Linked DNA regions of Drosophila melanogaster. Changing the gene in region 1 together with any one later gene gives a genetic interaction. Each region holds a gene or a part of one and is shown in the gene's direction. Other genes may lie near its edges. The genes, in order: Tm1, psidin, Khc and stan.

Evidence for each region.
Region 2: of Tm1 (region 1) and psidin, changing one suppresses a phenotype caused by changing the other (phenotypic suppression), as found in Drosophila melanogaster (2 studies listed by BioGRID).
Region 3: of Tm1 (region 1) and Khc, changing one suppresses a phenotype caused by changing the other (phenotypic suppression), as found in Drosophila melanogaster (one study listed by BioGRID).
Region 4: of Tm1 (region 1) and stan, changing one enhances a phenotype caused by changing the other (phenotypic enhancement), as found in Drosophila melanogaster (one study listed by BioGRID).

What each region holds. Positions count from the first base shown.
Region 1 is NT_033777.3:15,279,825-15,284,563, forward strand, and holds the start of Tm1 (tropomyosin 1), read left to right. Parts: upstream 1-1,725; 5' UTR 1,726-1,779; exon of another isoform or gene 1,780-2,033; intron 2,034-4,739. UniProt on the Drosophila melanogaster protein: Tropomyosin, in association with the troponin complex, plays a central role in the calcium dependent regulation of muscle contraction.
Region 2 is NT_033777.3:20,019,951-20,026,983, forward strand, and holds psidin (phagocyte signaling impaired), read left to right. Parts: upstream 1-1,753; 5' UTR 1,754-2,103; coding exon 2,104-2,164; intron 2,165-2,253; coding exon 2,254-2,478; intron 2,479-3,406; coding exon 3,407-3,899; intron 3,900-3,964; coding exon 3,965-4,364; intron 4,365-4,429; coding exon 4,430-5,713; intron 5,714-5,776; coding exon 5,777-5,975; intron 5,976-6,035; coding exon 6,036-6,220; 3' UTR 6,221-6,532; downstream 6,533-7,033. Other genes in the region: PIG-L (phosphatidylinositol glycan anchor biosynthesis class L), read right to left, coding at 398-932; CG4424 (uncharacterized protein), read right to left, coding at 6,677-6,815, 6,881-6,991.
Region 3 is NT_033778.4:16,266,397-16,273,775, reverse strand, and holds Khc (kinesin heavy chain), read left to right. Parts: upstream 1-1,804; 5' UTR 1,805-2,290; coding exon 2,291-2,437; intron 2,438-3,522; coding exon 3,523-3,982; intron 3,983-4,120; coding exon 4,121-6,000; intron 6,001-6,071; coding exon 6,072-6,512; 3' UTR 6,513-6,816; downstream 6,817-7,379. Other genes in the region: CG33017 (uncharacterized protein), read right to left, coding at 1-1,071, 1,135-1,464; csul (capsuleen), read right to left, coding at 6,902-7,057, 7,123-7,379. UniProt on the Drosophila melanogaster protein: Kinesin is a microtubule-associated force-producing protein that may play a role in organelle transport. Milt and Miro form an essential protein complex that links Khc to mitochondria for light chain-independent, anterograde transport of mitochondria.
Region 4 is NT_033778.4:10,671,401-10,676,400, forward strand, and holds the start of stan (starry night), read left to right. Parts: upstream 1-1,944; 5' UTR 1,945-2,569; intron 2,570-5,000. UniProt on the Drosophila melanogaster protein: Involved in the fz signaling pathway that controls wing tissue polarity. Also mediates homophilic cell adhesion. May play a role in initiating prehair morphogenesis. May play a critical role in tissue polarity and in formation of normal dendrite fields.

The sequences.
Region 1 (4,739 bases):
TCGTTTTCGTATTTAGCAAGTTGCTCAGACTGTTTTGCTATTTTACAATGTTTTTCGACGTTTTCTCAAGGGTCTTTTCCATGTCTATGTCTTCTTTGTTTTTTTTTTTCTTTGTCTTTATAAATATATTGATCTAGTTTTCTTGCTTCGAAAACTTTTTGTTTTTAATGAATACAATTACGTCATTTTGTGGGTGTTGTTTGAGTTAATTTTAAAATTTTCATCAACCTCGGACTGGCAAATGTTCTCCAAGATAAGAGAACAACAAAAAATGGAATAAGTAAATACATATATGTATATATGTTGGGGCTATCAAATTGGCTTATATTTATAGGTTTATATTTAAAGACTTTAGTTGCATTCGAACATATAAGATCTCCAACAATTTTGTTGGCGATAAGATTAAAAGGGCGTGATCAACGAGTAAGCAAGCAATCTAGAAGGGCAAATATGCATATCACCAGATCGGAAACTCAACGATTATGGGGAAACTGAATTTCAACCGTTTTCACGTTTGCAATTTAAAAAAGCATGAATCATGGATGCATTTTCTTGCGAGACAGTTACAAAAAAACGTATACTTTCATATGTGACATTTATGATTGCCAGCAAAATGTTTTCCGTTCGCAGACATGACGTTGAAAAATCTATAGAAAGAGCTTTAATATATAGAGCAGAAAATAATAATCTGTAGACCTATGGGGGAAATACGTACGTATAACTACGTGAAACAAGATTTTTTGGCATATCAATAACTGAAAATTAAAAATAGAAGTTGAGAACATCAAAAAGCAAAACAAAACGATCCCCAAACCAATACACTCTCATCGGGAAAAGAGACACGATTGCCTAAGTATTGGATATATTTTGCAATGGGCAAAAACACTGGGTGAAAAGAGCTTTTCAAAATACGGGGAAATATTCAAAAATAGGCTGAAAGAAAGGCATTCGATTCGAAATGAGTGAGCATTACCCATACATGTGCAGCGAACAGGTGAAAGCACCAAGGAAAGGATCGGAAAAGAGAGGCAGAGAGAAAGCGGAGAGAGAGCGCAGGCGCCGGGCTTGAATGTGTGTGTATAAATTGTAACTGTATTTGAAATTCTGATCTTATGCTTTCCGTTACACTGGCAGAAATCGGATAGGAACATAAATTAAATATATTACGGGCTGAGGGGTAAAGAAATGTTGTACAGCTTTCTTAACTGGCATAGCCCATTTCACTTTGGAGTATTTTCTGAATGAAAAAAACATTTAATATAATTTATAAATGAATTTCAAAATTCAAATTTGTAATAACAAAAGTAGCATGAGTAAATGATGATAAATGATAAGTGCGACATAAATTTATAAATACATTAAATCAAAAGTGCATATTAAATGTCCTGATATTAGAAAGCATGCATGATTACATTAAATATGAGTATATAAATAAGAACAAATGCACCCCTTTGTTGATTTCGCGCAGTGTATAAGCTATTGTACCCCGGCCGAGCAATTTACCGATGCTCTTGGGGTAAATTGAGAGCCAAGTGCAGTTCCAAAGTAGGCGCAGACAGCAACAACATATGCTCGCTTTTGGCCGAAAAGTGCGCACTCTCGCACACAGATACTCACGCACACAGGCGCACTAGCGCGGCGGCTCACACGCACACACACCAGCGCAAGCCGCTCGAAATCGACCAAGCGGCGAGCATCGAACGTCAACATATTGAATAAATATTTTCAGTTGAACATCACAATCCGTTCAAGTCGCGGATAACTCCGAATAAAAGTTTTGTAAGTAAAAAGGAATACGTTATCGTTGATCAGTAAAAAATTATACAAAAAAAAATACAAAGATATCGCTGAATATTTCCACAAAAATACTTGTCGAGTGCTTCAAAAATAATTTTAACTGTGCTAGAATTCGATTCTTATTTAAAAAAAAGGATCGAACCAAAAAGTATAATTACATAACCACAACGTTGCTGCAATATCTAACTTAAAATCCACCAAAGTGCTGTGCAATTCTCAACCCTAATCATCCGCAAGTATTGAAAAAAATTGAAAATTTTCCCAGTTAGAATCGAAATAAACCCAAATAGAGGTTAAGCACCTTTGCAGATCGCGAAAAAAAAACTAAGAATAACGATTCTGGGGACCTTGTCAAGTTTGTCTGCTAACCGCAAGTTGCTATATAGGGTTTCAGCTAAACGTATTTCATGAGATATATAAACATGGTCAGTGGGAACTTCGAACGATCTTAGATTTTAGCGGCAGAAGTAAAGAATTAAGGCAAAAGGAGGATTATCGAGCTCTCTTTCCTCCTTTCAGAAACTAAAATTGTCATGTTGTATATGAGAAAGTAAGGGAATCATTCTTAAGATAAAGATCAATGAGATAGACTTCAAGATAGCTATCCTTGCTATGGAATGGTTTCCTGAATTATAATTTTCTTTAATCCAAAATGTTTAGGAATTCATTGAGCCTATTTTCCAAGTAACTGGGCAACACGCGCATTTACTTTGCAGTTTTGTATCTTTGAAATCTGATCCACGACCGCTGGCCCTAGCTGCCAAATGAATCTGAAGCGAACGTAGGCGAAATGCGCCAAGAATTTCCCAGAAAGCTCCCTTCCTCTCAGCTTAGTATTAAGTAATATCCGTGGAGAGGCTAGATATTCAACAGATGCCTCGGCTGTCCTATTTTTAGATACAATCCGTGTGTGCTACAGATACTAAACAGTGAAATAGAGAGCAGGAAAGCTGCTAGAGTATCGCCCAAGGCATTTGGCTAAAGAATCTATATGCATTAGACCCATTTGAACCAACGTGTGTATATATCGTACTCTAAGAATAGAAAATTCTGTATTCTGTATGATTAAATTCCGAATTTTCCATGCGATAATTTGTAAATTTTGTGTGGAAAGGTAGATCTTATAAGGTCGGATACAGATGGAAAATATCTGTAACTTGTAAACTAGGCAGAAAAGTAGGAATTGCGAGGTGCCAGTTCATAAGGATGGCTTGTTAGTTGGCCATAGTTAGTTAGATATAAAAAATGAGTTATACATATACGCATTTTGTTTCCTGAAATATTAACTTTGTTCCTAATGATAACGTCATTTCTTGATAAGGATGATCTTAATACTCATAAACCTCTTTGGTGTAGGCCCATTTTTCGATTATATATATGTCATTGCCGAAAGTTATAAGATGTCATGGGAATTTTGTGCTGAATCAACGCAAACATAACTCAATGTGTCACCTTAATCGACTTATGGCCCATACACATGCAGATTTATATATATATATATATGTATATCTGTGTGTTTTTTAAGCGAACAAAAAATTTGCCTCGATTGCGTTTTCATTAAAATTCAACGTTTTTTTTTTTTGGCTTTGGCTTTATTCGATTGGCGCTTTTTTCTCCAATGCCACTTCTCTTCGGCGGATCAGGCACAGGAATGTAAACAGAGTTTTTAAAAATAAATGCATGTTTAAGGCAGAACCACACAACAAATGACAGCGATGAGCCGTAATAAAGAATTAAAATTTCACGCGGCGAAATTCGAGTCAATTAGCCGCCGGCTGCACTCGGTTCGAGCCATGACAAATGTTGGTCAAGTGGGTTTCGTGTTGGCCAGGAAAGGCAAAGGGGGTGTCAATGGGCACCAAGGAGGGGCCAAAAAACCCACCAGCTGCGTTCACATTGAGTCAGAAGTCTGGAGCTGCTCGAGAAAAGGGGCAATAGCCCAGTGCAGCTGAGTGATTCATCTTGGGTTTTTAATTCGAGGATGGTAGCTACAGCATCTGCACTTTACTGATAAGAATGCAATTCCAAGATAAAGCGCACATTTGTAAATATAAATTGATTTGAGTAAACATATATGGCACCTAAGAGTATGCAATGATATATGTTAGTTAAAAAAATATATTAAATGAGCTTACTATCATTTCAAATCCTCATTCTACTTTCGAAGATTTAGAAGACTTTATCTATGCAGCAATTTCTTGGCCCAGATTGGAATCTACTGACACAATTTTGGCTGGTGACAGAACTCTCTATTCGAGAATGTACCCAGTTCGTCCAGCTTCGTTTGGCTCCACACCACGCGATCCGATGTGATCTGCATAAATAAACACCCTGCTTTCGGTGTTTCGAAGTATATCCCAGAAAATAAGGTTCAATTTTAGGTATTCTCGTTTAAATGATTTACTGTGACGAGATGAGAAAACACTCTCAAAGTTCAGAACATCAGCGAAAGAATCGGACAATAAAAGTCGTGAAGAGACGCCGTCGAAATATTAAATTCTCAATTTATCAGTTGGCTAAGCTCGAACAATGCGACTGACTGGCATCGAAAAGGGGGCCTTGGTTGTTTCGGTTTTGGCCAGGCCGAATAATTTATTGACTCTGCCACCTTTCGTCCAAAAATGGCTATCCATTATTGCAAAAAACTCGCTGTGTAGCTTGAAATGGAAGAAAGATCTGCCAGTTATTTTGATAACATGCAGATAAGATGGGAGCTTTAAAGTTATGAATTTAAATACATATATGTGCAGAAATCAGATTGCAGGATCCTCATGTAAATACACAAGTTATAAAATTGCTAAATTAATCATAAAATGCAAATGCATTTTCCATATAGTTTCACTTTCGCACAAGCCATGTTTGGACTTGAATACTACTCCCCTTGCACTTGCTGATTATCGCATAAATCTGCTAATTGCTTTATTGGCTTGCACTTAACCATG
Region 2 (7,033 bases), 4.7 Mb from region 1:
TATTATATTGAAAGGATTAATAGTTGATTTTTAAATGAATATCTAAATTTTAAAGAAAGAAATATACAAATCGGCCCTACATTACTATCAGCTCGGTATTATTTTTTATTATCTATAAAAAGATAACATCGGTGTAGCCCCTGAATCTTTGCAATAATTAAAATAATAACAGTAGAATGGGCAGGAATATATAACATTTAAAGATTATTAAAAATTCCAATACGGACTACATATATTGCACGAAATCGATTGTTGGCTAACACAAAGAGAATGCTGTGCCCATATGGCAGCAATAAAGCTAAGTCAGATTCGCTACTGATTTCGAAATGTGTACTTTCGTTTAATGCTTCCAGATCTATTGGTGGTTTGGGGATGATGTCACTGCTGGTGGTCTCACCGTTGGACAAGCAGAGTATATACACCTGGCAGCCTTGGCGCTGCGTCAGCGAGTAGATCAGCGGTCCGAAGAACATGCACTCGTCATCCGGATGGGCGGTGATCAGCAGGACGCGCTCCATGCACGCCGTTTTGGGCAGCCGGACGCTACGCAGCCGTATTCCGGACTGAAGGGCCTGCTTCAGGCCGCCAGGACTCCGATTGCCATCCGAACTTGGGTTCAGCTCTGCCCCCTCGCCCGACCCGGCATTGCTGGTGTCGTTGCCGTTGTGGTGGGCGTCCAGTCCCGATCCCGATCCGGCTCCCGAGAGCCAGAAGGTGAGCTTGTAGAGGCCCAGGCATACTAGCAAGTACACCGCACAGGCGATCAGTACGTGCTCCAGTGCTTCGGCGGATGATGACCTGATACGGCAGTAGATGGCCTGAGGATTGGGGACGAGCTGCTGCACCTGCTGCTGCAGTTGGCGCCACGGGGATGTCGATGCAATGCTGCTTGATATGCTGGCCACGTACTCGCTCAGCCAGTTAAATCTCATCGCTCATTGCGTCCGGCCAAGGGCAAGATTTTTGGCGAGAAATTCTTCACCAAAAATGGACATGCAGCGCAATTTGGCAGCGAGGAAAAGCGGAAAAGCGGCGATAACGGTGCTCGGGCGGTTACTTAAACTATTTCACTAAGTGGATGTGTTTCTTAATCGGTAGTTTAATACTTCAAAACGTTTGGTTACGAGCCCGCGCGCCGCCTAATCGGCTAATCTCTGCATTTTATTCGAAAACTTTACGCGTTTTCGACTTTCGGGGGCAGCAGCTAGAGATGGGCAACTGGCGTGGTGCGTGGCAGGTGCGTGACTCACGCTGACTCATTCACGATTTCTAATCAACCTGTCCGGTGCGCCGTGCAACTACAAAGCTTAAATTATCTAATTGGCACTCGAATAAATTGATAAACTCTTTTCTGCCATTCATCGTTCGCTGGCAAGCTACCATTCGTGAGAATATATCAGTCCATCTCTATCGCTCAGCTGTTGGACAAAGTGCCCAGCGGTAGGGGTACTCTTGTCACTGTTTTTATAAAATCTTAAGTTTTTTTTGAAAACTTAATCTGAAATATAAAGAATTACAGTTATGAACATTTCTACTTTTTGAAGAATATCAATACTTTGTTGATCATAGATAATAACAAAATTACTAAAAACTACTATTAGAAATTCACTTTTGTACAAGACATATTCTAACCTTAAAATTCTAAGCAGAATGATTGAATGGAATTTTAAAAGTTTCCCAATAAGAGTATCTTGATGGCTTAAATTTGTGATTTGAGCGAAGACCCCTAATGTCGGCATGCTCTTCTCGAAAAATACCAGAAAATACTGGAGAAAATACAGGGGCCGCTCTCTTCTCACCGAATATGCAGTCTGAGGTTTTTTTTATTTTGAATAAAATTTAAAGTCACTAGTTTCTATGAAAATAAGCACATAATTAGCCTACGACCGTGTGATTCGAGTGCCCGAGAGCCAGCCGCCCGTCCCCGACCGCCCAAACACCGAGGGCAACCCAAGGAGAGCCCCCAAACGATTGCAGGAAATTAATCAACGGCAGACGACAGCGTGCCGCAAAACCCAAAAGAGAGCGAGTCTCAGTTCGAGGTGCATGCAGCACGTTGTAATTAGGTTAGCAGCATACAGCAGCACCACATAACACGATAACATGGCACAGCAGCAGGGCATGGACTCGGCCCTGTTCGAGCGGCGACTGCGGCCGGTATACGGTGAGTGTGTTGTCCGTGTCCACGGCGGAATGAGGCGCTCCATGTGCCGGGTCCACAGTCTCACAGACTAACATCCCAATCCTTTGCAGACAACCTGGAGGTGGGCAACAATCGCAAGGCTCTGCAGGAATCCGAGAAGTTGCTACGCAAACATCCCAACCTGCTCTGCGCGCGGGCATTGAAAGGCCTCTCGCTCCTGCGACTGGGACGCTATGACGAAAGCCACGGATGCCTCCAGACCGTTGCCGAGGAGAAGCCCACGGACGACTCCACGCTGCAGGTGCTGTCCTTCTGCTACCGCGAAATGGAACAACGTACGTATGGGTAAACCACCGGCAGGGCTGATGTACTGAGCCCACGTGGAGCCACCGTTTGCTGGGGATTAGGTTCAGTCAAATGCAAGATTGATAACGTACTAAGCATGGTCTAGGAGGTACATTACCTCAAGTAGAAGTTATTTAGGAGTATGATATAACCAACTAGCCATAAACTCTTAAAGCACGAACCTAGTCTCTCGTTCTAACGCGATGAAGAAGGGCACCAGCCATCAGAAATAACTAATTTGTTCACAAGTAGCTCCTGATAGGCTATAAATTATTAGTTTCATTTATGAATTTGACTTGTGAAGCACACTTTTAAGTTATGAAGAACCTTTTGTAAGTTAATATCCAATTTTAAATCTAAAAACGAAATGCCTGTGTGAGGCAAGGACTCATTGTATGTATAGATAATAATTAAGGATTTAGATTTCTCCTTTCAAATGTGTAAAGGTTACAGGCATTCTAGAATTGAAATTTTATAAAAAGAATAGCTTCCTTATCCATGAGTTAAATGCTTGTATATGTATGTATATGTATATACAAAATATTTTAAAGTATAGATTTAAAGATAATATTAATATTTACTTAAGTTATTTAAATACGAAACCATGGTCGATCAAAGGATACAATTTGTTGAGCTTTTTTAAATTCGATTGACGAATACAAAGCAACATTTTTAAGTAAGAATGTTTCTTAGCCACATCTGTGAATCCCCTAGAGACGCCCCTGCTACGCACACGAAGTGGCCACAATTCATATTTTCGTATTTTCTTGGCACGCGCACCTCGCCCGACTAATTAAAATCGCATTCTCTTAGTCGGACGACGAGTGGCAAGTGCGTGCCAACGATCTGAATATATAGATACCTGTACCTGCGAAAGTTGAAATCGCTAATAATATATAAATATCGGCCTCTTTGCAGTGGACAAAATTGTGGAGCTGTACCAGCACGCTGTGAAGCAGAATCCGGGCAACGAGGAGCTCCTCGCCCACCTCTTCATCTCACATGTGAGGGTGGAGGACTACAAGGCGCAGCAGGCGGTGGCCCTGCAGCTGTACAAGGCGCAGCCGAAAAATGCCTACTACTTTTGGTCGGTGATCAGCGTAGTCTTCCAGGGAATCCGTGGACCGGAATCGGCGCTGCCCGAGAAGCGGAAAATCTACTTGGGACTGGCGCAACGCATGGTCGACAAGCACATCAAGGAGGGCAAAATGGAGACGGAACAGGAGGCCTTCCTCTATCTGCACATACTTAAGCTACAAAACAAGTACCAGGAGGCGTGGGAATTCCTTACTGGTGAGCTGTGCGCGAAGCTGTACCCCGGTGCTCCAGTCAGCATGAAGTTCGAGCTGCTCAAGGAGCTGGGAAACTGGCGGGAATTGAATGAGCTGCTGCAGCAGCTGCTGGACGCAGAGTGAGCTTAAACAATAAGTTCATATGTATAACTACGTTTTCTAAGTTTTATTTTTTATCCCCAAGTCGTGATCGTTGGGACTTCTACAAGGAGTATATCCAAAGCTCGTTCGAGCTGCTAAAACTTACGCCGCAGGGCGTGGAGAACGGGGATAAGGACTCTCTGGCCAGGTGTCAGGAGTTCCTTCAGCGCATCATTGACTCCTCGGAGCGCAAGAAAAGGGGACCCTATCTGGCGCGGTTGGAGCTACACCAACGCATGCGAGCGGAGCAATTGCCGGCGGAAAAACTAATCGGTGACTTTGACGAGATGGTCATTGAGTACTTCCGTCTGTTCGGCGACAAATCGTGCTGCACTCACGATATCGCCTTGTTCTTGCCTTCGATCAGCATGAACCAGAGGCAAGCGCTAGCCAGCAAGTTGTTGTTGGAGAGCGGAGTAACCTCCACGTCGCTTCCAAAAAATGTAAGTACGCAAAAATTATAAATTCAACTTTGAGTCTAACGATTGTTGGTATATGATTATTGTAGAAAGAGCAGTTGCAAAAACATCTTTGCGCTCTGCAAATCTCTCGAATGTGCGGATCCCACATGGATCTGCCTGCGGACCACCTGCTTGCCTTCTATACGGCGCTCAAGCTGCACTACGAGCACGGCAGGACTACTTTCGGTAAGAAGTTGCTGGCTACGGAAATGGGACCATCGGATGCATACGCACTGCTGGCGGCAAATGTAATGTACGATCTGAGTAGGCGGGAAAATAAGTCGGATCACCTGTTCGAGGCGCTGTGCCTGCTGCAGTATGTTCTGCGAAACAGTACGAGTAACTTCCACGTGAAACTGCTAAGTCTAAAGATCTACCATCTGTTTGGCTGCCAAGTGGGCGCACAGGAGATGTATGAGTATCTGGACATTAAGCAGATTCAGCTGGACTCCATGGGCTATGTGCACTGCCAACTGTTGGCTCTTGGAGGTCGCTTCTCGGGCAATCGTAACGTGTACGATGCCACCCTAAAGTTTTTTACGAACAGCTATAAGGAAAGGCTGGAATACATTGCGTTAACATATCGCTTTTGCACGTTTTCAAAAATGGAGGAGTTCATGAACTTCAAGGAGCGGTTAACCAACAGCTTGCAGTACGTGGCCTGCTCGGTGGAGGCGCAGATCTGTGACTTGGTTAGTTGCTATGGCAATATCACGCAGAATCTATCCGCATATGTGGCGATGAGTATTGAGCCGGCGGAGGACCGGATCGCTTGGCATGAGTTGAGCGACAATCGCGACTTAGGGGCCATTATCCGATGGGATCCGCTACATGAGGTAGACGCTGCGGAGGAGCGCAGGGAGTCGTTCGACCAGGAAGTTGAGGTGCTTCAAGTACGTTCGCTGATGCTTCGACTCTTTGCCTCTTTCATCGACTTGTACCACGGCGCGGGCTTAAAGGATTCGCCAGCGGGAGCAGAGACGGCCACCTTGGAGCTCCTGCGGGAGTCCTGGACGGGATTATTCCAGAGATTGCGCGTGATGAACTACAAGCCGTTGGCGCAAAAATTTCTAGTCAATCTGCTGCCCACACGTCTTCACCTGCTGCTCGACATGCCATACGAACGTTTCTTTGACGACCTTGCCCAGTTGGTCCTTGACTTGCAGAGCGGGTCGGCAAAGCTGGCCGAGCAGTGCAAGCGGGTGGGTGACAATGTTATTGCGACTATGGAGCTGTGCGTGCAGACCATCAACGAGAGCAACGAAAGCAACGGCATTGACGGTCTGTGGAAGCGGCGAGGTCAGCAGCAGAAAGTGGCAGCCAGTTTAGAGGTAAAATGTTGGTAGTAAAAGCAGGTAATCTTAAATTCACCAATGTTCTTATAACTTTTCCAGATGCTATCGCTGTACGCCTTCCTTCTGTCCGTGTTGAACGACAAGCTGCAGGTAAGCTCAAAGACCAAGACCAAGAAGAAGCCGGTGGAAAACAAGGTGGATGGACCGCAGCCGATCAGCGAGAAGGAGCGCAGCCAGATGTTGCAGGAGCTGATGCGACAGCTGAAGCACAAGTTTGAGGCCTGCGACACGGCCATACGTAAGTGGCTCTAGACAAATCGCCCAAAGATAAACTAAGGTATGATTCTGCAATCCTTAGGCTCCTGGAAGGCGCCCGTTTTGCCACGCGACCTCAGCTCCTTTATGTCTGACATGTCGCTGAAGCCGGAGGTGGAAGCCACGCTCATCGGCGACGTTTCGGCCACCTTTAAGGACTCGCACGAGCTGATGGTCACCGAGCTGCGCAATCTGCTGAAGGACAAGATACGCATGGTGGCCAAGTAGATGCTTCTTTGCTGTGCAAAGGCCATCAGCCAGCCAGTCCGGTCATCGTTGCCCCCACACAATCCAAGTTCATAGTTTGTTATTTAATTTTGTTAACGGATACAACCGACCTCATAATCCTCCTACACTACAATTATCTCGAACACCAGCGCCAAGTCAGCACTTATCAATCACTTTTCGGCATTTCCCTCGTACAACACATAAAAGTTGTAAAATTTTGTAAAACAAAAATTAGAAAAGAACAAAACAAAGAAAAAAGATTGCGTACCGCTTTGCAAGTAAGTCAAGTAAAAGAATAAATTGTAAAAATGTAAACAGTTTGTTTTTTTTTTTAGAATGCTTTTTAGTTAGTTTCATGAAATCTTTCTAGCAAACTTTATATAACAAAGGTCGTATATACAAAGTTTTAGGCTTTAAGCAAAGGTAAAATGTCGCGATCTTATAAATATTATATTATTAAGCATTAGCTACAGTAATCCCCACTTTAAAGGTACTTAGATAGGCAGTCAGTCGTGGATCATTTATATGCTGTTGCGTTTGCAGATGCGCCACGAGATTGTGAATGCGAGCGAAGCTTTTGTTGCAGAGTTGGCATCTGAAGTAATAATAGCAACGTGATAAGTTTTAGGTTTGATTTAGTTTAAAACCGAAACCACTTACATGTGGGGTTTTTCGCCCGTGTGCGTCTTGTAGTGCATTTTAAGGACACTGGCATATGTGAACTTCTTTCCGCAGGTCTTGCAGGCATAAGGACGCTCATTTCGATGGGTTCTGTGGAGGAAATACAATTAATTAGCTAGTCTCTACTTGTAG
Region 3 (7,379 bases), on another chromosome or scaffold:
GTAGTAGTTACCGTGGGCGGGAGGCACAGTTTGATTGCAGTAAATGCACTGGCATCCATGGATATTGCAGCGCTGAACGTCTTGATTTACTTGGTTATAAGTGCAGTAACAACAGTTCGGAACTGGATGGCTGGTGTTATAGTAAGTTTGATCCGAAATCGGTTGAGTGTTGCTGTGTCGATCGGTGGTAGGATTGTTTGCATTGTTCGACAAAGTCCGATCCCTATACTTCTTCTGCAACAGCATTACGTTTAACTGATCCTCGCCTGACTGGCGGCGATTCTTCGTACAGCCGCAGCTTTGATTCCGAACGGAGTCTCCATCGTCGGAGTAACTGCCGGGTTGATTCTGTTGCTTGGCCAACTGGTCTAGAAGTCTCCCGCACACGGCATTATTATTTCGCTTCCAGCTGTCGCAGCACGACTTCTGATTGTCCTCGCCGATTACTTTACGGAACCTGGGCTTCCACTCTCCGCGTTTTTGGGAACATAGTCTGGGACCTGGCCATCTATCGCTGCGTATACCATTGCCGACGGACTCGTAACCATCCCAGTTGTCAGCACCGACGTACACATCATTTTGTTGCGTTTGCGATGAACGCTTTTCTGGGTTGTCTTTCGTGGGACATGAACATGGTTTCCCAGTTCGATACTGTTTGCTATCACTTTTTTGGAATTTATTTGACTGATCCTGTTCCTGATACCGATTAGACATCCTTGGGTTGGTACTGCCGCTTTCTCCGCCTTCTAAAGAGCTCTTACTTCCGAATTGAGGACGACTGCTTTGACCTCTTAGCTCGCACGCTTCACAAGGATCTTCGTCTTCCTCTGGCTTGCAACGAACACAGTACGCAGTGGGATACCACCGATCATTGCCGGACGTAGATCTTTCATGGTGCACACCTAAGAACTCTTCATTTGGTGGCTCAGGCTCTAGAATCATCTTGTAGAAGGTGTACCCGCACCTGGTTTCACTGCAGCTGGGACTTAAAAAAGCTAGAGGCGATATGAATGTGTCCTCCGAAAAATTGGGTGGGAAATGTCCTTCCTTAATGGGACAGTTAGCTTCCTCCTGTGTAAAAATAGAAGATAATGGTTCACTATTCAATATCCAGTGCAAAAACCATCCACTCACCTCCAAGTTTCCCAAGAAATGCAAGTCCTCGAAGTAGGAGTACCTTGGACTATAACTATAACCCTCAATTTGACTATTTCGGATGGCGGCCAATTCCTTGGAGTAGTAGTGCCGCAGACCGAGCACCTGCAGCTCCACCTGGTCAGGAGTCAGGCCGCAGTTCATCCGCCGGGTGATTTGTCGCCAGGCGTCATCCTTCGCAGAACCACTATGGAAACCAGGTGACTTTGGATTCCAGAGGCACTCGTTCGATCGATAAAGTCGGATGAGCTTCTGCGTCTTCTTCAATCGCTCCAAATTCAAATACGACGTAATATCCTTCTGTGCCATCGTGCCCCTCTGTTCTCCACAATCCTTTCCAGCGACTCGGTGATCAATCTTCCATAGCGTTTTCCTATTGAACCTACAGAGGTTGTATGCCTAGTTTGGAGCTATATATTGCGCCCAAGCCGAAATATTTGGACAGGAAAAACAAAAGTGACAATAAACAAGCAATTTTGAATAATTTTTGAATGATTTTTAAACGGTATCGCTTAATTAGGAATATTATATGCCGTTACCATTTTCAAGATCTGCAGGGTGTCTCATACATTCGAAGCTTTTGAGAGTATTAATTCAGTATTATTGTGCAATTAAATGGCGATTGGTATTTAGCTGGGCGAGCAGAACGGTCACACTGGCGCACAGTAGCGAAAATAATAGTCGAATAATAAAATAGTTTTGAGTGCAACTAATTCCGACCTACTAACGTATGCGAGTGCATTTAGCGGCTGCACTTAATCATTCCGGGCAAAAAAGTGCAAAACAGTACGACGCGGAGCAGTCAGAATCGAGGTTGCGCTCCAGCGTTATCGCCATTTGACCAATTCAACTTTTGTGTCTGGTATAACCACAAAATTTTCACTGCATCTTCTTATTTGAGCCGCCCCCAACCCAATTTTCGCGAGTGTGTCGGAATCAGCAGAGAATCGGAACAAAAGGGGCCAAACGGAGTACCAGAATCGGCACAAGCAAACAGTGAACAGCAGATAGTGCGGACGATAGCGAGTCCGTTGATTATCCACGTAAACAGTGAGCTGCATGCGCAGAGGTCGCGCCCAGAGCTGCAGAAATCCAACAATCTCCGCCAGAAAGATCTATCTCCGCCCTGTAAGCAATGTCCGCGGAACGAGAGATTCCCGCCGAGGACAGCATCAAAGTGGTCTGCCGATTCCGACCGCTGAACGACAGCGAAGAGAAGGCCGGCTCCAAGTTCGTGGTCAAGTTCCCCAACAATGTGGAGGAGAACTGCATATCCATAGCGGTATGTGTTCCAGATCTATAGTTTTCGCCAGCCCCCAGTGCCTTTTCCCTATGTGTTATGCATTAATCTCGGCGTGCCGCGCCATGACGTCATGCCTATTAGCGTACATTACCCTTCCCCAAAATTGCCGACCAATTGGAATGCCAGGCGATAAAAAGAGAGAGGCACTAAAGTTACCCATGAATAATTGCACAAAACAAAACTAGATGTACATATACATGTATATGATGAAACCAACTAACTTTACTCCAAATCAATATTGCTTTGCACCAAATTGATTTTCCCCCAGTCGAAAAAGAATAGGGTGTGTAAATCGAAAGAAGCGCGATGACGGGGTGGAGAAATGCCACCCACTAGACGGTTTTCTGCTAAAAGCGGGTGTTCCATTCTTTTGGGCCGCATAAATATGCGCTTTTCTAGTTTCCAGTCCGCCTTCAGTGCTTACCTCACTTACATTTCCACACAAACACATACACACATTGACGGTAGCCCCCGCTCCACTTCCACTCCCCTGTCCGCGCGCCAATGAGTCATGCACGCAAAGCATACAAAAAAAAAAAATATGAGGAAAAACAATAAGAGCAACTTTGGAGGCAATGGAATTTGGCTGTATTGCTTTTATGCCACATGAAATGTTATTGCTTTGTATGCTATGCTGAATTTCCCGCTTTTCCGCCAGGTGTAATCCGTCATATTCCTGGTAAAGCTTGGGCAATTGAACCAGTTCCAAAAAAGTCAGCACTAATATAGTGCCTCCATACACAGACATTATCATTACGCTCTCTCTCTCTCTCTGACTAACTCTATCTATCTCTCTTTCGCTGTGGCTTTCTTCTGGCGCTCGTTATTCACTATTCTTCCCCCTTCCACTTAACATGTCTTAATGCTCATAATTACAATCTGCTTCGCGGCCATGCGTTGAAAATGATTCAAAGGCAGTCAGCGGGAAAAGATCGGGGACAGGGGGAATGAATCTCCGAAAGAAATTTCACCGCAACTGACACCAGTTTATAGCTAATGTAACTGGCTGCTATGTACTAAAGAAAAAAACACATTATACTAAACCTAATCTCCATCGTCTGCAGGGCAAGGTGTATTTGTTCGACAAGGTCTTCAAACCGAATGCATCCCAGGAGAAGGTCTACAATGAGGCGGCCAAGTCCATTGTTACGGATGTCCTGGCCGGGTACAATGGAACGATATTCGCATATGGTCAGACGTCCTCCGGAAAAACGCATACGATGGAGGGCGTGATCGGGGACTCCGTAAAACAGGGTATCATACCACGTATCGTCAACGACATTTTCAATCACATCTACGCGATGGAGGTGAACCTGGAGTTTCACATCAAGGTCTCCTACTACGAGATCTACATGGACAAGATTCGAGATCTGTTGGACGTCTCCAAGGTGAACTTAAGCGTGCACGAGGACAAGAACCGGGTGCCGTACGTCAAGGGCGCTACGGAACGGTTCGTCTCGTCGCCGGAGGATGTTTTCGAGGTGATCGAGGAGGGCAAATCCAATCGTCACATCGCTGTGACAAGTGAGTACTAATTAAAATCGATGGTCAGGACCATTTCAGCCAAACAAGTCTAGGAGTTATTCCAGCATTCGCTCTGACCTCGATTGTAGTGTTTCATGTACCAGATCATCTTTTATAACGATTTATCCATCCTTTCAGACATGAACGAGCATTCTTCGCGATCCCACTCAGTATTCCTTATCAATGTGAAGCAGGAGAACCTGGAGAACCAGAAGAAACTATCCGGCAAACTCTACCTGGTGGATTTGGCCGGTTCCGAGAAGGTTTCCAAGACTGGAGCGGAGGGAACCGTTCTTGATGAAGCCAAGAACATCAACAAGTCGCTGTCGGCCTTGGGCAACGTAATTTCAGCCCTGGCGGACGGAAACAAAACGCACATCCCCTACCGTGATTCCAAGCTCACGCGCATCCTGCAGGAGTCGCTGGGAGGCAATGCACGCACAACCATCGTCATCTGCTGCTCTCCAGCCAGTTTCAACGAATCTGAAACGAAGTCAACGCTGGACTTCGGTCGTAGAGCCAAGACAGTGAAGAACGTGGTCTGCGTTAACGAGGAGCTTACTGCCGAGGAATGGAAGCGACGCTATGAAAAGGAGAAGGAAAAGAACGCCCGACTAAAGGGTAAGGTGGAGAAGCTGGAGATCGAGCTTGCGCGCTGGAGAGCGGGTGAAACTGTTAAGGCGGAGGAGCAAATCAACATGGAGGATCTCATGGAGGCAAGCACGCCCAACCTGGAAGTGGAGGCAGCACAGACGGCGGCGGCCGAGGCCGCTTTGGCCGCCCAGCGAACGGCTCTCGCCAATATGTCCGCATCGGTTGCCGTGAACGAGCAGGCCAGGCTGGCTACAGAGTGCGAGCGTCTCTACCAGCAGCTGGACGACAAGGATGAGGAGATCAATCAGCAGAGCCAGTACGCCGAGCAGCTCAAGGAGCAGGTGATGGAGCAGGAGGAACTCATCGCTAACGCTCGGCGTGAGTATGAGACTTTGCAGTCGGAGATGGCGCGAATCCAACAGGAGAACGAGTCCGCCAAGGAAGAGGTTAAGGAGGTGCTCCAAGCTCTCGAAGAGCTGGCTGTAAACTACGACCAGAAATCCCAGGAGATCGATAACAAGAACAAGGATATCGATGCCCTCAACGAGGAGCTGCAGCAGAAGCAGTCTGTGTTCAACGCCGCCTCCACAGAGCTACAGCAGCTCAAGGACATGTCCTCACACCAGAAGAAGCGCATCACGGAAATGCTAACCAACCTACTGCGCGACCTTGGCGAAGTGGGCCAGGCCATTGCCCCCGGCGAGTCCAGCATTGACCTCAAGATGAGTGCTCTGGCTGGCACGGATGCCAGCAAGGTGGAGGAAGATTTCACCATGGCGCGTTTGTTTATCAGCAAGATGAAGACGGAGGCCAAGAACATTGCCCAGCGATGCTCCAACATGGAAACACAGCAGGCTGACTCCAACAAGAAGATCTCCGAATATGAGAAAGATCTGGGCGAGTACCGGCTACTCATTTCGCAGCACGAGGCACGCATGAAGTCGCTGCAGGAGTCGATGCGGGAGGCAGAGAACAAGAAGCGCACGCTCGAGGAACAAATCGATTCGCTGCGCGAGGAATGCGCCAAGCTCAAGGCCGCCGAGCACGTTTCCGCCGTTAACGCCGAGGAGAAACAGCGGGCTGAGGAGCTGCGCTCCATGTTCGATTCTCAGATGGACGAGCTACGCGAAGCCCACACCCGGCAGGTGTCCGAGCTCCGGGATGAGATTGCCGCCAAGCAGCACGAAATGGACGAGATGAAGGATGTCCATCAAAAGCTGCTCTTGGCGCACCAACAGATGACGGCCGACTACGAGAAGGTGCGCCAGGAGGATGCCGAGAAGTCCAGCGAGCTTCAGAACATCATCCTCACCAACGAGCGTCGGGAGCAAGCGCGCAAAGACCTCAAGGGCCTGGAGGACACGGTGGCCAAGGAGTTGCAGACGCTACACAACCTGCGAAAACTTTTCGTTCAGGATCTACAGGTAAAGTTTAAGCAATCCTATCTATTATTGCTACGTACAGATCTTAAAATGTATTTCCCTTGTGCCAACAGCAACGAATCCGAAAGAATGTCGTAAACGAGGAGAGCGAGGAGGACGGTGGATCACTCGCGCAGAAACAGAAGATTTCCTTCTTGGAGAACAACCTCGACCAGCTGACCAAGGTGCACAAGCAATTGGTGCGGGACAACGCCGATCTGCGGTGCGAGCTGCCCAAGCTGGAGAAGCGTCTACGCTGTACCATGGAGCGGGTGAAAGCTCTGGAGACAGCGCTCAAGGAGGCGAAGGAGGGCGCAATGCGGGATCGCAAGCGCTACCAATACGAGGTGGACCGCATCAAGGAGGCGGTGCGACAGAAGCATCTGGGCAGACGTGGCCCACAGGCACAGATCGCCAAGCCGATCCGGTCCGGCCAGGGTGCAATCGCCATTCGTGGTGGTGGCGCCGTTGGAGGACCATCCCCGCTGGCCCAGGTTAATCCTGTCAACTCGTAGATCCAATCACCACCTGTCGCCGCCCAGTTCAGCTCCGCTTTAAACTAAACTAAATGGATTACGTTATACATACTTAACATAACTGATAATTGCCTTCGCTTAGATGAGATGTGTCGCGATCATGTGCAGCGCTTTAAATATACATACATATAATTTAATTAAATAAATGAAAGGAAACCGGAAATTAACTAAATTTTACAAACCGAAAATAATAAAACCCACAGATATGTAAGGACATCTATATACGTTAAGAGTATTTATAAACTTTTCAAACATAAACCTAAATAAAAGTCGCAGACAAATTAAGGTCTCTTTAGTTTGATTCTTATTGCAGTTCAAAAAAATTATGCCGATTATTTGGCTATTGGTTGTTATTACATCGTCTGCTGTTACAATCGCATGTTGTAACCTGTCCCGCGTGTGTTATGGTGCTCCCAATCGTCTGGAGAATTGACCACCTGCCATTCGTACCACACTTTGGTTGCATCCACGCATCGCCAAAACTGGATGGATATAGTCTGTCCCTCCCTCAGAGTTCTTGGACGCTGAGTAGTAAAAATATATATTAATGTAGCAGTTATCAAAGGCTAACTAATCACATCACACGTACCGTTGCGAAGAACATGGGGAACCAGGAGAACATGCCAGGCGTATGGGTCAGAGGATTGATGCTTAGGCAGATGTCCTTGTACAAATGGGTATCAAAGTATCCGCCGATTCCGTGCAGCACGCAATCTTTATTGACTTTAAATGAAACCGTCTTGCAGCGAGTATTGTCAATATTTTCCGCTCGATTAGGATGTACGAATTCAAACAGAGCCTGCGGCTCGTCAATATGGTAAATATTCTTTAGCAGCGACACATAGC
Region 4 (5,000 bases), on another chromosome or scaffold:
TCAGTGAAGCGGCAGCAAAACCCCTTCGCCTTCCTCCCCTTCCTGCGTTTTTATATCGCTCGCAGGCGGCACTTGCATAAACCAAATGCAGAGACAAGTGTCTTCGTCCTGCAGAGAGAGAAAGATGTGGACACTATGGATGGATAGCCACTCAATCCAAACAAAAATGTGCCACATAAACAAGAAGACGCTGATACGTTGAGTGCATTTTACATATTTTTTTACTACTCTCAGATTGTTTATTTATATTGAATACAAAAATCGGACTTTGCTTATTTAAACAAAATTCCTCGAAGTGATATTTTTCCAAGTGTTTGGCCTGCTTGGCTGGACACGCTGAATCGTGGAGGTTTGGCCTTGTTCCCTCCTGATAACCCATCTTCCAACTCCGATCTCCGAAAAGGGCTGCCGGCTTTCGACGTGTGTCAAGTGTGCTGCATTTGTTTAATGCCAGCGCTCAGTAATTGGAAAGCATGTCGAACATGTCGAATTTATTGCCCCGCAAAAAGCACACAGATACAAATTGAAACGGTTACAGATTACGGATGCAGCTAGCTACACATGGCCACAAGGTTACATAGACACGGATACAGATCAATGGGGGAATTCAGAGCATTCCGAGTCAATGGCTTGGAAGAGCCTCAACCAAATGCAATTAATCAAACGCAAGGGGCCAATGTCAATTACATGCAAGAAACCCCCATTTCGGTCTCCTATTCTCCTATTCCTTCGATTCCTCCCAAAATCCCTTCGATTCGTTGCTATTCGGAAGTATTCGGACCACGTCAGCTGGCCAAATGCGAGTTGTTGGCCAAACGACGATGTCTTGGCCAACACCTTCCTGTAAGCTATAAATTCCGCCGACACATACATACATCTACCAGCGTAGCCATTACCCACGACTGTTGTCCTTGTGGGCCAAAAGCTTGTTCGGTTTCTGGGTCCCAGCATATGTTTATCACTGCTGCCGAATTCTGCCAACCAAAATTGCATTAAATATTTTGCATAATTCGATAAACTGAAATCTAATCGAATGGCAAGCAGGAACATGCGAATTTCTGGCATACCTATGTATAGATCCCAATTGGAATAATGATTCATCCCTAATGGCTTCGTAATTGAAACTATTCACTTAACAGCTCTTGACACTTGAACCTCATCATAACATGGAAAACGGTCATTTGGTCGGTTTTAATGGTGTACTACATTTTTGGTTTTGACAGTGAACTTTTAGCATATTATGTTTCTGAACATAAATTGCGTTGATTTAGACTATCGCTTAATTATGCCAAATAATATGTTTGTTTGTTTATTTAGTTTTCAAACCAAGGCGTTCAACAGAAAATGAATTATTATTGGTGGGACACAAAAACTAGGCTATATGGAATATTATTTATTAATATTAACAAATGAATACACCACATGTAAATTTATAAGTTAGCAATTTTATGTTCAAGTTTTACCCGTAAGGGATAATGTTCCACCATCTTTAGATTCGCAAACTAATTCCGATTACAGGTGTTGGCCCGATGCACAGATAACACATTTATTTAACATTTATTTAATAAATAGTAGTAAAATTATATAAATATCACATTTAATAAATTGAGTCGATTTAAATCTTTGAGCATGCAAAGCGTGCTGCAAAACTAATTTACTGATAAGAAAAAGACTTTCGAAGTTTCCAAAGATTGAATATCCTACAGGTTGAAGAATCCTGGATCAAATTGCACGTTTTTATGCTCGGGGATGCAAACCGAAATTTGGTGGCACCTCTCTCTGCTGCCGCAACATGTTGCAACAGTCGCGGCAATGTTGCTGCAACACGCAGTCACCCCCCGCAGAAAATCCACCACCGACGAAAGTATCCATCGGATACACGAACTCGCTTCGGCTTCCAACTGAGTTTTAGCAAGAAACTCAGTTTCTGTTTCTGGTTTTGCCAGTTACCACTGCGACTCCGGACCGATTGGACGCGTTTTGAGCGTTTGGCCAGCAAGAACGGTATTATTTTTCACTCGGGGCTACGCGTGCGCGTCTCTGCAAAGTCAAAAGCAAAGACAAATGCAAAGGCAAGTGCAAAGCCAAAAGGCAGAGGTAAACGCAAACCCAAAGTAACAACTTCGACGGTCGAAATTACCGGTTTTTCGCCAACACAACATACAACAATCCTCGCTCTCAGTGAATTTTAGCGCGCGGTCTTTTCTTCGCCTGCTGTTTTCAGAAAAGTGCGTTGGCTTTTCCAACAACCACCCCCTTTTTTTAGCCGCCCAGCTTAACGGTCGGGGTTATAGTCGGTTTAGCATTCGAATTATTCGAATTTCCCGGAATCAAAATAGTTAAATCAGTTTAAACAGTGCTCTAGAGTGAGGCCAGTCACACAAACTGGCGAGTGCTAATTATAATATATTGTGTTAATAATACAAACACAAGATTCACGCAGAGGAAACAACACGGATGCGCGATTTTAAATGCAATATTATAAATATTTAACAATGCAGCCGTGCAGCTAAAGCGGATTATTGGCCACCCACGCGTGGAAATTCAGCGGCAGAGCAAACAAAAGCCTGTAAGTTCACACGTTCCAGCCAGGATATATCAAGGATATGTGCATGTGCTCGCGCATATACATATGTCCTTGTGGGCGGGATGCGGCTGCATTCTAATGGGAATTGTGCGACGCATGACACCTGATTCATGACGTATGACAGGTGTCGTTCCAACAGGACACTATATGTTCCGCAGGCGTGGCCTTAAATCTCTTAGATAAACTTCGTATTTAAGGGCTTACGCCATAGCGGAATCGCGTAATTCATATTTTCAAAGGGTTATAAGCTCTAGAAAAGTATTTTGTATCTGCATATAAATGGGGGCCTGTATGAAATATTGCTAGAACCTTTATTTGTTATATGATATGGAAAGACGCTTAGTGGTTCTGGCTACCTCTGAAATGTTTCGATTTAAGACGTTCTTAATTAACGGCTTTCAGCTCTAGGGCTTCGGCAATAAAATAGAGCTCCAATTGGGCCTTTAAACCTAAGGCCTCTTTCTTGGCCATCTCCAATTAGCAGTTGGCCCAAACAGTTGGCCGATGGCCGAAGTCGAAGTCGAAGTCCGACGCTCACACAGTGCAACTGTTAAAGTTCAGAGCCATCGCAAAAAGATACAAACGCGAAGCTCTAAACAAACATTAAACTGAATACCAAATGAGACAACAAAAGGAGGAAGCACAATAAAAGTCACATTAAAACGTGGGTCAAAAACGCGGAGAGCGCGAGGAGAGAAAGGAGAAGAGTTGGGTCAAAACATAACCGAAATCGGAATCGGGGAATCGTGGAATCAAATGCCTGCACGAGATACAAATGTATCTGTATCTGAGCGTTGCAAGTGCTTTGTTTTCCCTGCATTTCACACTTGTCCATGGGATTTTGCCTTTGCCATTGCGTTTGTATCTTTGTTTCTGCGCCCTTTGTCTGGCGCATAAATATTTCAGCAGGCCGGGACAAACTTATCTGCTGGATACATTATTCACTCGACTCAGTTTTGTCGGATTGCCAATTTATTAAGATAGATTTTATTTTCGAGGCCATTAACAGGGCCTTTGTTATATTTCGATGGGGGCCAGATACTCTCGCACATTTATGTTTTATGATTTTCTAGTTGGAATGCGGTGTGTTTGGTGCAATTGGAAGAGTCAAGTCAAGTCCATTTTGAGCCTGCCAGTGGCAAGTAGCTGAAAAATTGTTGTAAGACTGGTTTTCTGCTACTGCTCCTCGTTCGACCCCTTTCTCCCTGCCTCTCTCTAGCTCTCTCTGTCTCTCTTTCTCGGCGTGTTACCAACCTTTTCCCATTCTTCTTGCGGCTGGTGCAGAGAAAAAAAAGTTATTTACTTAGGTTAATTATGTGATCCAAGTTTAGTTACACACAAAAACATCAAATGTCGTTCTATTATATTTTATAAGACGATTAATATTAAGAGTTAAAGGCTTAAGGTGTTATCCTTTAATTTTTACAATAGGCTGTTTTCTTGAAATATGTGTAGAATGAGTTTAATCCATTTATATTTGAAATCAAATAATTGCGGATATAAAGATTAAGTTGTAGTAGAGGAATTACTTGAATAAAATTTAAGAAAAAGTAGGTAAATAAAATATTTTACCGTGCTTAAAATGAGTTTGTTAGCGCCTGGCTCTCTTCGCGGTTTTGCAGCTGTCTCGGCCAGGTTAGGAGCAATCCACCACCGGCAGGCAGATCCGCTACGGGCCATCATCCTGACCAGAACGCATCCTCTTCTTCTTCGGTAGCCGCAACCTGTTTTTCATTGGTTATGTTTTTTGTTTTTTTGAGTTCGAAGTGATCAGTTAAGACTTCAGTTGGCCAAGGAGCCAACGAAAAAGGTGATTTTTTCCGGCTTCTGATGCCACATTCACTGCGAATAGCCAACTCGCACGGCGAACTAACCTCAGTCAATCCATTCGATATCCATGCCGGCATAGGAAAACTCGTTATGACTCTTGATTAATTAACATTTGAATGCTGTCTCGTGCCAGTTAATGTGGCTGATTTGTGACCGGCTTGAGTCCATCAAAATATCAACAGTCTATTGTGGAATTTATTACAGAATCAGAGGGCCAATGGCCAAATGAGATTTGCATGGCATGGAGTTGGACGAATTCGTGTGCACACACCAGAGATTCATTGATGACGTTGATGGTCCACATTTTTCGGTATCTTTTGTGGGTTTATGGTGGCCTCTCTTGGCCACTACTCACACGGCTATCCATGAGATACTTCTGCGTAGGCATCGGCCCTCTTGGTCGCGCACTCAAAACTGGTTTCGGCCACATTCAAAATTGTTATGTTAGAATAAAAGCTTAATTGATGCATATACACACGTACGGTTCAGTTTTATACGGCAGCAGTGGTCCGTAGATACAGCCGAAAAAAAAAACAGTCAGATACATTTACATATACAAATACAGATGGAAGCAAATCCAGAC